2 linked regions of the Diceros bicornis minor genome follow. The protein of the gene in region 1 purifies or fractionates together with the protein of each later gene. This does not show direct contact. Links are inferred from orthologs where the notes say so. Each region holds a gene or a part of one and is shown on either strand. Other genes may lie near its edges. The genes, in order: SNX33 and DNM2.

Region 1 (7,680 bases):
CACAGGAACATAATGGCTATGCCACAGGGCCAGCCCCACAGAAGAATCTTTATATATTCTGGGTATTAATCCTTAACCAGTTATATATGGTACAGGTATCTTCCCCTAGTTTGCACTTCATCCCCACCCTTCTTATTCCCCCAGTCTCACTCTCTTCCATCTTCAGCCCTTGCTCAACATGTCTGCAGCAGGACTCTTGGTTAACTTCCTTCTCCCCAGACGATAAACATAATAAAGTGAATTATACATGTTAGCAGGTGATAAGTGTTATGAATCAAAACAGCAGGATATAGGAGAGCTTGGGGAGAGGATGGGCTGTAATTTTATTTTATTTTATTAATTTTTTAAATTAATTTATTTTTTTCCTCCAAAGCCCCAGTAGATAGTTGTATGTCATAGATGAACATCCTTCTAGTTGCTGTACGTGAGACGCGGCCTCAGCATGGCTGGAGAAGCGGCGCGTCGGTGTGCGCCCGGTATCCGAACCTGGGCCACGAGCAGCGGAGCGCGCACTTAACCGCACTTAACTGCTAAGCCACGGGGCCGGCCCCAGGGCTGTAATTTTAAATAGGGCATGTCAGGATAGGTCTTATTGAGAAGGTGATATTTTATAGGGGTTTAGCCATGTGGGTATCTGGGGGAAGAACATTTCAGGAAGAGGACATGGTGCAAATGCCTTAAGACAGGAATGTGCCTGACGTCTCAGAAGAGGAGTAACAAAGCCATCTTGCCTGGAGCAGAGTGGGCTAGGAGGGGAGGAAAGGATGCTCAGATAACAGAGGCTCATAGGCCCAGGTAATAAGGACTTTGGCTTTTTTTGTGAGTGAGATGAGGACACTGAAGGGTTTTGAGCAGAGGACTGACATCTAACTTAAGTTTTATTTTATTTATTTTTTATTTTTATTATTTTTTTTGGTGAGGAAGATTGGCCCTGAGTTAACATCTGTTGCCAATCCTCCTCTTTTTGCTTGAGGAAGATTGTTGCTGAGCTACCCTCCGTGCCCATCTTCCTCTACTTTATATATGGGACACTGCCACAGCATGGCTTGATGAGCAGTGCATATGTCCGTGCCTGGGATCCGAACCCATGAACCCCGGGTCACTGAAGCAGAGCACACGAACTTAAGTACTACGCCACTGGGCCAGACCCCTAACTTATGTTTTAAAAGGATAACTCTAACTGCTGTGTTGAAAAGAGACTGTCAGGAGGCAGGAGTGGAAACACAGACCATTAGGAAGCTGTTGCAGTGATTCAGGTGAGAAAGATGGTTTCTGGGACCAGGAGAGCAGTAGTGAGATGCCAGTGAGAGAGGAGTCCCAGGATGATGAGAAGAGTCAGGGATGGCTCCAGGTTTTGGCCCAAGCAAGTGGAAGAAAGTACTCATCACCTGAGATTGGGAAGGCTACCAAGTAGAACAAGTTTGGGGGGCAAGATCATAAATTCAATTTCGCACATGTTGGGTTGGAGATGTCTATTAGACACCCAAGGGGAGATGTCAAGGAGAAAGATATGGGAGTCTGGAATTTTAGGGAAATTAGGCTGGAGATTAAAAAAAAAAAAAAAAAGGCGTTATTGGCAGATAGATGGTGTTTGAAGCCATGAGCCTGGGTGAGATCATCGAAGGAGTGAATATGGATAGAAAAGACAAGAGGATCACTCTCCTGTAGTCACTCTAGTGTTAAGAATTATTGGAGAGAAGAGGATGAACCAGCGAGGTAGAGGGGGGACCAGGAGATTACGGTCTCCCCAGTGCAAGTGAAGAAAGTGTATCCGGGGGAAGGGGTGATCAACCTGGTCAAATGCTGCTGAGAGGTTGAGTAAGAGGAGGACGGAGAATAACAGGTCACTGATGACCTTGACAAGAATAGTTTCAGTGGAATGTGAGGGTGGAAGACTGGCTAGAGGCGTTTAAGAAGAGAAGGGGGGAAAGAAATTGTACATAGCTAGCAGAGATGGCTGTTTTGAGGAATTTTGCTGCAAAGGCAGGCAGAGAAATGAGGCAGTAGTAGAAATGAGGGTGGGGGAAGTGGAGTCGAGAATCTATTCTTTCGAGATGTGAATTGACTTTTTCCTCAATACCTACATCTTGTTGGTTGCCATTTCTGTCAATTCTACCTCCATAAACTCCCAGAGTTACTACTCCCTAGCCCATTACCCCTCCGCTACCTCAGGCCCTCATTATCTCTTGTCTGCATTACTACAGTAATAGTCCAGTGTGTCCTCTATGCTGCCACCAGCCGGGAAGCCACTGGCCACGGTTCTCCCTTGCTGACTTCCTTCCTAAAGGAGGAAAGGTAGATGCCTGGATGGGGGATGGATGCTGTTTCCTGTGCACAAATCAGGGTCCCAGCAGGAAAGAGACCACACTCCAATTAGAATAATGTGAGGATAATTTAACAAAGGGACTTTTTCCAAAGAAATGGGCAGAGTGTAGGAAAACCACAAAGGTTAGTGCAATTTTCTGAGACTAGCGACCAGGGGTTCTGTTACCCCTAGGCTTTAAGAGGGTCCCTGGAAGGGAGGGAATGAAAGATACGGGTTCTGGAAATTTCTGTGAGGCTGAAGAGTGAGTTTCCGCCAAGAACCTGTAAATAAGGGTGGCCCCTGAGAGAAAAACCCACCCAGAATAGATGTGGGAGTAAATCCAAGATGGTTGATCTGTAAATGTGTGACTGAAGTGTTTGGGAAACAACTAAAGGCCATCAAGGTGGTGGCTGGGAACATTTTAGGGGGGCGGGGCTGGACTAGGACCCTAGTTGGGTGAGCAGAAATCCCATCAACTGTATTAAGTGAGCCAATAAAGGTAAAATGGTTACAACAGTGTCTAGCACTCAGCAAGCACTAAACTAGTTGCTATTGTCAAACCCAGCCTGGCGAGAGGCTAGGTGAACAGAAGAGAGATCATAGAAAAGGAGTGTCCCAAAAGCATCTGGGGGAAACATATATACTGGCTCTGGCCGTGGAGATACTAGGCTGAACTGAGTCCTTAGGATCAAGGCTGCCCCTGTGGCAGGGGACAAGATCTCAAGGTTTCTTGGCTGAGAGACTTGTCATACCATCCCCTCTTCCCATCCTGGGGGTTCCAAGTTCATGGGGCTAACCTTCCGGTAACTGGGCTTCTCAAGAAGCAGCCCAAACTGCCTTGGGCTATTGATGCAAAAATTCAGGGCTGCCTGACAGTTGTATTTCTCTGTGCAAATTAATACCTGGGCTTCTGAGGTTTGTACTACATAAGCCTTTATTCTGGTCAAATGCCAGCCCTGCATAGGGAACTGGATCTACTCACTGCACTCATGAAACTGGGTTTGTAGCCAGAGGCCTGCAGATCATACCCCTCAGTACAGCCAAAGGTGCACACCTTTAGCAGCACTACTTTGTGCCAGTTCATCTGCAACAAGTGGGAAGAGTGAGAATGAGACGGAAGGAAGTTCTGGTTAGAGGGGGTAGGTAGGCAAGGTGCCAGGGCACAGCCGGGAAGGAGAGTAGGGGCTGAAACCTTTGCCTCACCTTAGGCACCTCCTCCAGGAAGCCTTCCTTCATCCTTGCTCCACCCAGGCTGGGATAGGTGCTCTCCCACTCTCATTTCCTGGCATTGGTCACACTGAGCAGGGAGCATCTGTTTACTTGTCAACACATCTGAGCTGCTGGAAGGATAATGTCTTATTTGTGTTTGTAGCCCAGGGGGCCTGGTACGGAATAGTTACTCAGTTAATGTTTCCTTGAGTGCATGATTTAATGAATAAGACGGAGACAACGGATGAATTAAGGACAAGAGGGCGGATTGTAAACTCTCCAGGGCAGGAACCCGGACTGCCTTGTTGTGCAGTAATCCCCAGTGCCCAGCACAGTGCCTGCCAAAGTTAACGCCCAGTGTTCCGGATGGGCTGACTAAGGGTCAAATCCCCTTCGCCTCCTCTCGGAAGCCTACCCCAACCACCCCTTTCTCCTCGCTGCTGCTGGCGAAGACAGAACTTCCAGTCTTCCCAGCCGCACAAAGCAACATGGAACTGGATCGTGCCTGAGCTTGCTCCCTGCCGCTACAGATATAGGGTCTTGTCCTTCCCCCTGAAGGAAGTCGCCCAGGGCAGGAGTGCTCCTGGCCCTGTCTGGTCAGGGTATTAGGACCTGAAGAGGCCAGTATCCCAGGTCGCTCAGGCTTCTTCTGGTGAGGGCGCAGCTGGCTCTGGGGCCCCCTCCAGCGAACAATTCCGGGGCTGCGCCACGCTGGGGGCGGGGGCGGGGAGAAGGGGACGGGTAGGGGGGCGTCCGCGGCTCTCCACGCACCCTTCCTCAATCCCTTCCCCCCCGGGTCCCGGCTCTGGAGCCCTCCTGGTAGCCCCACACTTTGCAAACTTTCGAGTTTTCCTCCACTTGCGTCACGGAAAAGGCAGGAGAGTGACAGAGTCCAGGAGGCTAGGCGGCGGCGGCTGGCGAGCTCCCCCGCGCGGCTCTCAAGCCCGGCGGGGCGAGAGACGTCTCACTGCGAGGCCGGACGGGCTCGGGAGTGCGGCCGCCCTAGGGACTGGTCCCGGAGGCCCGCGGGCCCCTACTTCCCGGGTCGTCTCCTCCCTCTCGCATTCCGATCTCAGCGCGAGCGAGTGAGGGCGACGGCCAGGAGAGAAGCGAGGAGGAGGCGGGAGCCCCGGCTCCAGCGCCCCAGGCCCGCGGGAGGGCGGAGCCGGGCCGTCCCTGCCCAGCCCGGACGCACGGAAGTGCTGTGGAGTTTGCCCAATTCCCCAGCCTGCTTTTCCTCCCTCCCTCTCTCTCTCCACCCCTCACGTCCCCCCTCAGCTATTCCCTCCTTCCTCGGGACGCCACCTCCCGGAATCGCCTTTTTTTGTTTTGGAGCTGGTTTATCGCTGGCTGCGCAGAGGGACTGCTAGTGCTGGAGTTGAAGGCGGGCTGGGGGCTCAGCTCGCCGTCCACCGGCTGGACCCCGCGGGGCCGAGAGGAGGACGGAAGGACAGACGGCCGGGTGCGCCATCAGCTCGCGGGAGCTCACTCTCCAAACTCCTGTTGAGTGTGTGCGTGCGCGCGAGGGGTGGGGGTCTGCTTGTCTAGCGCGCCGGGACCGGTTGCTGCGGGGTTTACTTTTGGGCGGGGGTCCTTGGACTGCGATCAGGGTCAGCTTCAGGCTCAGAGACTGCTGGGGAATTAGGCAAACAAAAGAGGCCACGCAGCTAGTGACCAGAAGTCGCCTGAGCGCCTCGTCGCGCCCTCTCCGTCTCAGAGGTGGGGGCTGGCCACTTGAGGGGCGGGGAGAGGGCGCCCCAGCCGGCTGGGGGCCGGGCTGGGCCGCCGGGGTTGAAGAGTTGGCGGCCTGTTGTGTAAGCCTCAGTCCTTGTTTTCCCTGCCTGGCTTGTTGTGAAGCCGGACACATCCACCCTTGGACTCGATTCAGGAGGCTGCTGCTTTTCTCCTTGCCCCTCTTGGATTTTCTGGATTTCTGAAAACCCAGTGGCCCAAGAGGAGGAGGAGGAAGGAGGAAGGGGCAGATCTGCAGAGGAATGTGAGAGCCTCCCAAGGCCTGAGGAGACAGAAGGAGCTGGGAGCCAGAGCTGCCGGGATTTCTGGAACGGTGGTTTCTGAGCGATTCTCTTCTATTTTAGAACATTGTTCCAGTGGAGAGTGGTGAATTCTTGCCCTCTCTGAGCTGGTTTCTCCCAGTCACTTGACTTTTCTTCTGGGAGTGGGAGAAAGAGAGACATCCCCCTCAGGAGCTGCCAAGGGAAGGGAGAAAGACTATGGACATGAGCCCTCCCTGCTCACATGTGTGTGCTGGGAGACCAGAAAGGGCAGTTTCTGGGCCATGGACATTGTTTTGAAGAGAGGAAGGCTGGACAGCATCTGTGGGTGCAGAGACCCTGCCTAAGGGGCTGAGAGACTGAGTTGCTGTGGCAGGCCTTGAGTCGCTAGTGCATTCTTGGACACCGTAGTGAGTGTCCCCAGTTCTGGGCAGGACCCTCTCCTCATCTTTCTCTACCACTGGCCCAGCCATGGCACTGAAAGGCCGAGCCCTCTATGACTTCCGCAGTGAGAACAAGGAGGAAATCAGCATCCAGCAGGATGAGGACCTTGTCATCTTCAGTGAGACCTCGCTGGATGGCTGGCTGCAGGGTCAGAACAGCCGTGGTGAGACAGGGCTCTTCCCCGCCTCTTACGTGGAGATCATCCGTTCTGGCACCAGCTCCAACCATGCTGACTATTCCGGCAGCCCTGCAGGCTCTCTGGGCACCCAGGTGAGCTTGTATGACAGCTCCAGTGTGGCCAACCCTTCCAGGAGTGGTGGGGGCAGTGGCTTCCTCTCAAACCCAGGCAGCTTCGAGGAGGACGATGATGATGACTGGGATGACTGGGACGATGGATGCACAGTGGTGGAGGAGCCACGGGCTGGTGGGCTGGGCACCAATGGGCACCCACCACTCAACCTCTCCTACCCTGGTGCCTACCCCAGCCAGCACATGGCCTTCCGGCCAAAGCCACCTCTGGAGCGGCAGGACAGCCTGGCATCTGCCAAGCGAGGCAGTGTGGTGGGGCGCAATCTTAACCGTTTCTCGTGCTTCGTGCGCTCTGGAGTGGAGGCCTTCATCCTGGGTGATGTGCCCATGATGGCCAAGATTGCTGAGACATACTCCATTGAAATGGGCCCTCGTGGCCCCCAGTGGAAGGCCAACCCCCACCCATTTGCCTGCTCCGTGGAAGACCCCACCAAACAGACCAAATTCAAGGGCATCAAAAGCTATATCTCCTACAAGCTCACGCCCACCCACGCTGGCTCACCTGTCTACCGGCGCTACAAACACTTTGACTGGCTCTACAACCGCCTGCTGCACAAGTTCACTGTCATCTCAGTGCCCCACCTGCCAGAGAAGCAGGCCACAGGCCGCTTCGAGGAGGACTTCATTGAGAAGCGGAAGCGGCGGCTCATCCTCTGGATGGACCACATGACCAGCCACCCTGTGCTGTCCCAGTATGAGGGCTTCCAGCATTTCCTCAGCTGCTTGGATGACAAGCAGTGGAAGATGGGCAAACGCCGGGCAGAGAAGGACGAGATGGTGGGTGCCAGCTTCCTGCTCACCTTCCAGATCCCCACAGAGCACCAGGACCTGCAGGATGTGGAGGACCGTGTGGATACCTTCAAGGCCTTCAGCAAGAAGATGGATGACAGCGTCCTGCAGCTCAGCACTGTAGCATCGGAGCTGGTGCGCAAGCATGTGGGGGGCTTCCGCAAGGAATTCCAGAAGCTCGGCAGTGCCTTCCAGGCCATCAGTCATTCCTTCCAGATGGATCCCCCCTTTAGCTCTGAAGCCCTCAACAGCGCCATTTCTCACACGGGCCGTACCTATGAAGCCGTGGGTGAGATGTTCGCTGAGCAGCCCAAGAACGACCTCTTCCAGATGCTTGACACACTGTCTCTCTACCAGGGCCTGCTCTCCAACTTCCCCGACATCATCCACCTGCAGAAAGGTAAGACTCAGTGCAGGCAGGAGACCCTTACTGAGTCTGCACTCTGCTGGGCACCGGGGATCTGAGAATGGCCTGGACAGAACAGAGCGGCTCGTCTGGTCTTTCCGTCTGTCTCATTCATTCATTCCACAAGTGTGTTGAGCACCTCCCATGTGGTGGGTGCAGGGATATTACTGTGGATAGGTCTGGTCCCTGTCCTCATAGAGCTCGCT
Region 2 (8,659 bases), on another chromosome or scaffold:
CTTCTGAGATCCAGGCAGTTGGTGCCAAGCAAGACGCCAGCCCAAGGAGGCCAGAATACAATGATTTTAACAACAGCAGCCACGGGTACAGAGTCCACGCCCCAGGAGGGTCTAGTTATCACCCCATTCTACAGAAAAGGAACCTGAGTCCACTTGGCCAAAGTCACAAAGCCAAACATGGAGCCGGTCCTTGGGCCCAGAGCCTGTGCTACACCACTAAATTCTAAAGATCTTTGGGTCTCTGCTAACACCGCAAAAATCCAGATTTTGACGCAAAATCTAATTTTTCAATGTTGGTAGCTAATTTTTTTTTTAAACACCATGCAGGTAAAACCAAAGACCCAGCAAGCAGGCCTGGGCTCCCGGGGCCACGGATCTGCAACCCGTGGTACAGGGCTGAGTGAAGAGGGCCATTCCCACTCAGACAACATTCTTAGAAAATCCACAAGGAGGGGGCAATGAACCGGAGCAGCCCGTGCTGGTCCCCAGGCACAGGCCCTTGACACGCACTCTCGTCTGCTCCCCGAAACCAGCAGGAGGTCCACAGCACAGGTCCACGATGCACGGCGTGGCCAAAGTCACAAAAAGAAGGAGGGGGATTCCACATGAGGCCCGCCTGCCGTCCCCTGTGGCAGGGCTTTGAGGCTGAGAGGCCTCATCCACATTCCAGAACTAAGAAGAAGTTAGCTCTGTGCACCCCATCCCCGAAGAGAGGCCTTTTCACAACTCTGGTTTTTGGGCCCTGAATTAATGTTCTGAATGACCGATGTCGCTTTGCAGGCTTCTGGAAGGAGGCTGCCACAGGAGGCAGCTCAGCAGTGGCCGGCAGTCGCCAGATGCCAGAGTGGGACGAAGAGAAAGGCCAGGGGCAGAGGGACCGAGGAGAGGTGGGGAGGGAAGGGAAACCCCGGGCCCCCAACCCCAGAGCCGCCAATTCCTCACTGAACAGCCCCAAGCAGCGTGCTCAGCTCTCTGAGCCTCAGTTTCCTGCTCTGTAAAACAGAAATCACAGCAGCGCCAGCCTCATAAGGCTTAAACCAAGTCCAGTGTGTTACCTGAGAGCACTTAATTCTAATTAGCTTTTGTTGTCGACATGAGAGGAAGCAGCCTGGTGAACACCGGCCCCGTCCATGTAGACCTACTATGTGCTAAGGAAGAACTTTCACTGCATCCTTGCAACAGTCTTGTTGAGGGATCGTCACCCCATTTTTAGGAGGGAAAACTGAGGCTCAGAGAGACCAAATAACCTGTGCAAGGTCAAAGGCAAATGAAATGGACAGCTTTACGGACGCCCACTGGAAGCCTGGGCAGGCAGGAAGATGGCCACGCACGCAGGGGCCCACAGCCCGGCCCGAGGATCAGCCCAGCCCCAGCTGACCCCAAGTCCACACCTTTCTGCCACAGTGGACAGAGGGCAGCTCGCCAGAGGTAAAGCAGCAGAGGAGGAGATTCGTGCCGCTGGGAGCAAAACTCCAGGCCTCTGGGAGGCAGAGGCGGGGTGCGTGCCCAGCTGGGCTCCACTGAGCGCCAGCCCGGTGGCCTTGGGCAAACGGCGAGTCCTTTCTGAGCCTCCCCGCTCATCTCTAAGGCGGGGATGACAGAAGCTCCACCCCACCCGCTGATGGTGGGAATCAAGATACCAAACCAAGAAAGAACTCAGCACTAGGCCTGCTGGATGAACGTGACCTCATAACACTGACAACAACAGTAATAATAACGATGAGACTGATGACTATGATGGTATCATGTGGCAGCCACGGTCACAAATGGAGTCCTTCCCAGAATGGAGAAGTGGCCGCCCATCTGGGAGGCAGAAGGGCAAGAGATGGGCGAAGGGAGAGGGGCGAAGGGAGAGGGGCGAACTAACCACCCTCGGTGGCCTCAGTGCCTGTTCTCATTCATTAGCTTCCTGAATCCTGGAAAACAGCCCAGAGAGTGGAATTTGCCCACTGGACAGATGCGCAAACTGAGGCTTCTCAGGGCTGCCCAGGGAAGGCTGTATTCCAGCTCTTGCCACTGAGGCCTGAGCAGGCAAGAAGTTCCTTCCTAGGCTCCAAGGAGGGCCTCCCAATTTGCAAGCTTTAGCCTGGAGGCTGGCCCCTGTGTTCTGGGGACCTGGAGCACCCTGACAGGGGCCAGGCAAGAATCCTGGAGAAAGTTCCACTGGGGTCCTACTTCCAACTGAGAAGGAAGGCGTTCAACATTCATCCTTCAGCTCCCTTCTCCTCTGCATGCTCCCACCACCCCCTGCCAGAGCTTGGGCCAGACAGTCGGGGGCCGCCAGGGCACCGACGGGCAGACCAGGAAAAGGACAGACACCAGGACAGACAGACAAAAGGATCCACTTGGAAGAGAGGAGACAGCGTTTGCCAGGAGCCAAGCTGAAAAGTGAGGCCAAGCGAGCCAGACAACAGGGCCCCTTAGGGTCCAGCCAGGCAGTCAGACGCCAGAGGCCAGCTGGGGTGACCCTACAGATGGATGGTTAAGCGTTAAAGTCTGTGAGGGGCACGGATGGGCAGGCAGACTGCACAGGTCACCCTGGACAGCTAGCCAGACAGCAGGGGGCTGCCCTGCGGGACTGGCCAGATGGACAGCCAAATGGTGGTGGCAGGGAGGCCTATCCAGGACGCAGTGAGGGCCAACCAGACGGCGAGGGCTGCTCCAGATAAATGAAAAGCCAGCCAGACGGCAGGGGTCGGCCCGATAGGTATCTAGCTGGCAGGTTGCGGATAGAGAGACGCAAAGAAGGCGGACCTACCCCGGACCCAGCGGCAACCAGATAGTAGATTTCACCCACTCAAGCTGGGGACCGGGGAGCCGGCGGGGGTCCACCGCGCCTCGGGGCCCACGCCCCCAGCCCGCGACACGGCCCCCGGCCCCCGCAGGGAGTCCTCCGCCCGGGGCGCCCGCAGGCCCGCCTCCCTGTCCCCGTCCCGCCGCGGGCACGCAAGCGCCGCAGTTACGCCGGCGGCGCACGGCGCGCCATTCCCGGTCCGCCCTCCGCGCCAGGCCGCCGCCCGCCGCCCGCCGCCGCCGCGCTCGCTCACCGGCCCACGAAGTTCTCGAGCACCGAGCTCTTGCCGGCGCTCTGGCCGCCCACCACGGCGATCTGCGGCAGGTCCAGGTGGCAGCTCTGGCCGATGGAGCTGAAGGCGTCCTGCAGCTTGTTGACCAGCGGGATCAGCTCCTCCATCCCCCGGTTGCCCATGGCGCCGGCGGCCCCCGGCCCGAGCGCCCCGCGCTCCCCGCCCGCCCCCGGCCCTCAACGACGCGGCCCCGCGGAGTCCGCGGCCGTTGCTCCCCGCACGCCCGGGCCTCGGCGCAACGCCCGCTCCCGGCTCGGCCTCACGGTCGCCGCCTCATCCGGTTCTCAGGCGACACCCGACCCGAGCGACCTCCCGCCCGGGCCCCGGGGCTGCGCCCAAAGCTCTTGCGCCGGCTCCGATTGGCCGGCCGGGCTGCCACTCGTGCACACGAGCCAATGAAAGCGAGGCACGGGCTTACGGGCGGGGAGTCTCCCCCGGGGGACCTTCTCGCGGGCTGATTGGACGCAAGAGCTGTCGCTGTTGTGCAAGAGCCAATAGCGGCGGGAAGCGAGTTGTCAAGGCCAGGGGGCGGTGTTTCGGGAAAAGGCATATTGGTGCCGCCTATTAGGGAGGGATTCCCGATGGCAGGAAAATCCGCCAGTCTTATTGGCAGGAAGACCCGCCAGTCAACAAAGCTGGCCAATGATATTAGGGATCGATCCTTAGACACTGGTTTGTCACTTGACGCTACCTAGTTCCCTAAAAACTTCCTATTGGTTTATATAACTATCACTCCGTTCCATCAGCCAACAAAACGAAAGAGGGCGGGCTTTAACCTCTGAACCCTGACTCTGATTGATCACTGCATTTGTCAATCAAAAAATCTCCCGTTTTGACTTGGGATTGTTGTATGTCTATTGGAGAGGCTTCTGGAGTACAGGGTAAAGCCCACCTTACTCGCCTAAGGACGCCACCTCGTGGTGGGACCCGGTGGTGATCTTCATGTGTGAGTTTCCGGGCTCGAGAGAAAACTACAAGTCCCAGAATGCATCTCGGCCCCGGGCTCGCAAACCAGCTCTCCGCGCGGGGTCCCAACGCGCTTTGAAGGTGAGAATCAGGCGATGTGAGTCGTTCTTAGGGAGAGGCGGTCTAGCACTGCATCGCTGGCCCCCACTTTCATTCCTATAAAGTCACGCCTCTAAGCCTTTGCAAATGCTGTGCTCTCTCCTAGGAATACTTTCCGCTCACGCCCCGTCTTGCTGCGGCTAACGCTCCAACGTTGTTCTCCTGCCTCTTCAACTTGAGCGCATCTTGGATCTTTTGGAGTGCCCGGTGAAACTCAACGATCCTCTCCCCAGGTAAAGACACCTTATTTTGCAGGCAACAGTTGGGGGTTGTGGGAACCGAAACCATTAACCTCTTAGAAAAGAGGCCGGGGATATGTGGAAGGATTTTAAGAAAAGTGATTTGATCCCTTGGGGAACAGATGGGCCTGCTCCCTGACCCATAACCCCAGGTCTCAGAGAAATGGGCAACAAGACGACCAACAAGTTTTGGCAATGCGGCCTTGACCACAATCACAGAAACCTGGAAACACCCTAACTGCCCATCCATGGAGCTCATAAATACTATGCAACAGCTGTAAAAAAGATTGAGTTAGTCTTCATGTACTGATGTGTAAATAATCTGAGATATAACAAAAGAAAGAAAAAAAATAGCAAGGGACAGAACTGCGTGTAAAGGACGCTGACATTCATGAAAAAAATATATATACACATGGAAAATTTTTTTGTTTTTTTGTGTGTAATATCAGCCCTGAGCTAACGTCCGATGCCAATCCTCCTCTTTTTGCTGAGGAAGACCGGCCCTGGGCTAACATCCGTGCCCATCTTCCTCCACTTTATATGGGATACCGCCACAGCATGGCTTGACAAGTGGTACGTTGGCACATGCCCGGGATCCGAACCTGTGAAACCCGGGCCGCCGAAGCAGAGCGCCTGCACTTAAATTAACCGCTGCGCCACTGGGCTGGCCCCACATGGAAAATTTCTGGAAGAATACCCAAACTGATCAAAGCAGTTGCATTTTTATGCTATTTGAATTGTGGATCCTACATCCTATTACTGTTCAATTAAAAAAACCTTATCTTCTAAGAGTACCCCGTCTGTAATTGGCCATATCTGGGTTAGATCCTGGGCCTGTTGTGCTGGGTGATAATGACCAAGTGACCTCATTCCTCTGAACCTCAGTTTCCTCATCTGTAAAATGGGGAATGTAGCTACCTATGCATCAGAAGGTTTCAAGAATTAAATGCACGTGACAGCTGTTTAGAACAGTGCATCACACCCACTGTCGTCATGACTGTGTGTACTGACAGCGAGATGAAGCCACATGTCCCAAGAGTCAAGGCTAAGAGCATGAGATCCGGAGCCAGGCCTCTACTCCTTCCATGGTGACCTTGGGCAAGCTACTTCCCCTCTCTGGGCCTGCTTCCTCGCCTCTAAAAAGGAGGAGGACACGAGTGTCCACCCCAGCGTGGCTGGGGCCTGAGCCACAGGGTCAACCATGTGGCTCCCACTCTGGGGCACTTCCTACATGCTGGGCTGTGCCAGGTGGTTCCCGGATACCAGCTGCTGCTATGGTTACTGGTAATTTATCAATGGTGCGGGGGAGGGACATCAGCCTCAGTGACACTCAGACCAGGAAGGGGACCAAGACAGGCCACCTCCCCAAGAAGGCACAGACACTAAGTTATAATAAAAAACCCAAATCCTTCAATATCTTCCCTCCCCTTCCCCCGCCCTCCCCCAAGCCGGGTCAAGCCAGTGTGATGCCCACAGAGGCCAGGGCTTCGGTGGCCCAGGCGGGACAGAGGGTGGGGTCCCCGTACATGGTGCCCATGAAGTTGCGCACGAAGTCGGGGAAGCGCTTCTCCACGATGCTGGCGCGCACGGCGCTCATCAGCTGCAGCTGCGGGGCAGGGTGGAGGTGTCAGCGTCAGCCCCCGCGCCCGGGAGACCCCGGCCACCCCCCGGCCTGGCCCGCCCGGCCACCAGCCCACCTGGTAGGCGATGTTGTGGACAGTGAGGTGGTGCAGGGCGGCGGTGTTGTCGCTGTGGAGCAGTGCGTGCAGGAAGGCCCGGCTGTGCCTGGGGGCAGATCGGGGCTCAGCAGCGCGAGGGTCCAGCCCCGCTCCGCGCCCTGCCCCGCCCCCAGTCCCCAGCCCCCTACATCTGGCACGTGGGACAGGCGCACTCGGGGTCTATGGGGCGGAAGTCCCTCTCATACTGTTTCTTCTTCAGCTGCAGGTTCCCCGTGGGCACCAGCGCGGAGCCGAAGCGCTGCGGGAGGAGAGGGGGACGGGAAGGCGGGTCCAGGGGTCTTCACCCGCCCCGGCCCCGCCCCCACCTTGGCACTCCCCCCAGTCCCCGCCCCTGTCTGCCCCCTGCCCAGGGCCTCACCGCCGTCCGCGTGGGGAAGACGCAGTCGAACATGTCGCATCCGAGAGCCACGCAGACCACCAGATCGGTGGCATAGCTGGGGGTGGGACCGTGGGGGGGCGCAGAGAACCTCAAGCCCGGGTCACACACTCAGAGCCCCCTCCCACCCTCAGACTCCCCGGGGACCGGGCTGCATTCCCTCAGAACCGCCCTCAGGGGAGGGCCATGTCCCCCTCAGTCCCCTCCCAGGCAGGGCTGCATCCTCCCGCCCCAACCCCGGGGGGCAGGGGTCCCCAGCTATCCGCTCCCCACAGGTGAGGCTGTCGCCCCTCCTCTCCACATACCCGACCCCCATCAGGTATCGGGGCTTATCCTTAGGCAGCCTCGACGTGCTCAGCGCGACCATCCTCCAGAACTGGTTCTTGCTCTCGCCCCCGCTCAGGCCCCCGATGGCGAAGCCGGGCACGTCCCTCTTGGTCATCTCTGGGGTCCGGGGCAAGGGGAGGGGGACCAGGCAGAGGGAAATGCATTGCCGCCACCACTGCCTCCTCCCTCCTCCCCGCCCCCTCCTCCTGGCCCATGGGTGGACCCTGCCCAGTCCTCCACAGGCCCCTCAGAAAGAGAGAATATGAGTGTGCACGTAAGTGTGTGTATTTGAGTGTGTGTGTCTAGGGTGCTGCCAGCAGATGAACTGCAAATTCCTGAGCAATCTGGATTTTAGAAGTGGGAGATTAGGGCCGGCCTGGTGGCTTGGCGGTTAAGTGCGCGCGCTCCGCTGCTGGCGGCCCGGGTTCGGATCCCGGGCGCGCACCGACGCGCCGCTTCTCCGGCCATGCTGAGGCCGGGTCCCACATACAGCGACTAGGAGGATGTGCAGCTATGACAGACAGCTATCTACTGGGGCGTTGGGGGAAAAATAAATAAATAAAATCTTTAAAAAAAAAAAAGAAGTGGGAGATTAGGCTTCAGAATGACAGAGAAGGGGCTGCAGATCGCACCACTGTCGCGCATGCGCAGCTTAAACCACTAGCCTGGGGCCCCATGTGGCAGAGGCAGGATTCGAACCGGGGTCTCTGGCCCCAGCTTCCCAGTTCAACCAGGGGAGGCCACAGCCCCGACCAAGCAGGCCCGGTCTGGGGCCAGGTTTTAAAGCTGGAGTGAGCAGCAGAATCGACGGGGGACGGGTTGTTCAAATGCCGCTTCCCAGGTCCCCCCTCGCCCCCTGTCTGATCCAGTCCTGGGGGACGACAGCCCAGGGGGTTCTGTGCAGCTGGGCCTCGGAGGACTTTGAGAAGTGCCACCAGGGCGGTGCTTGACAGACTGCAGGTGGCCGAGAAATGAATTAATGGGGCAAGACAGGGCGGTTGGTTTTTTTAAATGAAAGCAAACAGAGGGGCCGGCCAGTGCCGTCGTGGTTGAGTCTACACGCACCACTTGGGCGGCCTGGGGTTCGCAGCTTCAGATCCCGGGCACAGACCTACCCACCGCTCATTAAGCCATGCTGGGGCGGCATCCCGCATATAAAGTGGAGGAAGATGGGCACAGATGTTAGCCCAGGGCCAGTCTTCCTCAGCAAAAAGAGGAGGATTGGCGTCAGATGTTAGCTCAGGGCTGATCTTCCTCACAAAAAAAATAAAATAAAAAAGAAAGAAAACAGAAGATACCAGAAAGCCTCTCACATATAAGGTAATACTTCACAAAAGGTTTCTGCTTTCATATACAGCCACGCGTACTAAGCAGGACATGAAGTATATCTCTGACTGTGGGACTCCGTTAAAAAGACTGGACTGGAGACCTGGGGGTGGGGGGCCCAGTGTGAGGACAAAGAGGAATTTCAACGACAATTTTCACAACAGCACACACCGGTGGGTGCCAGGTGGGACACTTTGAACAGAGTTCCCCAATTATTCCTCACTTTGTCCCCACGACACTGGGAGTATGTTCCCATTTTACAGAGGAAGAAAGTGAGGCTCAGAGAGGCCAAGCCACTAGCCCAAGGGTGCACAGCCATGAGGCAGCAGATCAGGGATTTGGATCCAGCCCAAAAGACCCCAGAACCCACAGTCTTCCCATGACACCTCACTGCCTTTGAGCCCCCATCTCTGCCTCCCTTTTGTCTCCACGGCCATGGCCTTGGTTCAAGTCTCAGTGTCACCATTCTGCTGGGCAATGACTCCAGCCTCCTGATGGGCC

Evidence for each region.
Region 2: the proteins of SNX33 (region 1) and DNM2 purify together in Homo sapiens (co-immunoprecipitation; 3 studies listed by BioGRID and IntAct, with this or other methods). This does not show direct contact. The link is inferred for Diceros bicornis minor from reciprocal best matches to the Homo sapiens genes SNX33 and DNM2.

Annotation. Positions count from the first base shown.
Region 1 is NC_080744.1:68,343,190-68,350,869, forward strand, and holds the start of SNX33 (sorting nexin-33), read left to right. Parts: upstream 1-4,309; 5' UTR 4,310-5,997; coding exon 5,998-7,468; intron 7,469-7,680. UniProt on the Homo sapiens protein: Plays a role in the reorganization of the cytoskeleton, endocytosis and cellular vesicle trafficking via its interactions with membranes, WASL, DNM1 and DNM2. Acts both during interphase and at the end of mitotic cell divisions.
Region 2 is NC_080769.1:8,596,138-8,604,796, forward strand, and holds the start of DNM2 (dynamin-2), read right to left. Parts: upstream 3,241-8,659; 5' UTR 3,209-3,240; coding exon 3,048-3,208; intron 1-3,047. Other genes in the region: QTRT1 (queuine tRNA-ribosyltransferase catalytic subunit 1), read right to left, coding at 5,844-5,996, 6,088-6,175, 6,258-6,367, 6,488-6,563, 6,811-6,949. UniProt on the Homo sapiens protein: Catalyzes the hydrolysis of GTP and utilizes this energy to mediate vesicle scission at plasma membrane during endocytosis and filament remodeling at many actin structures during organization of the actin cytoskeleton.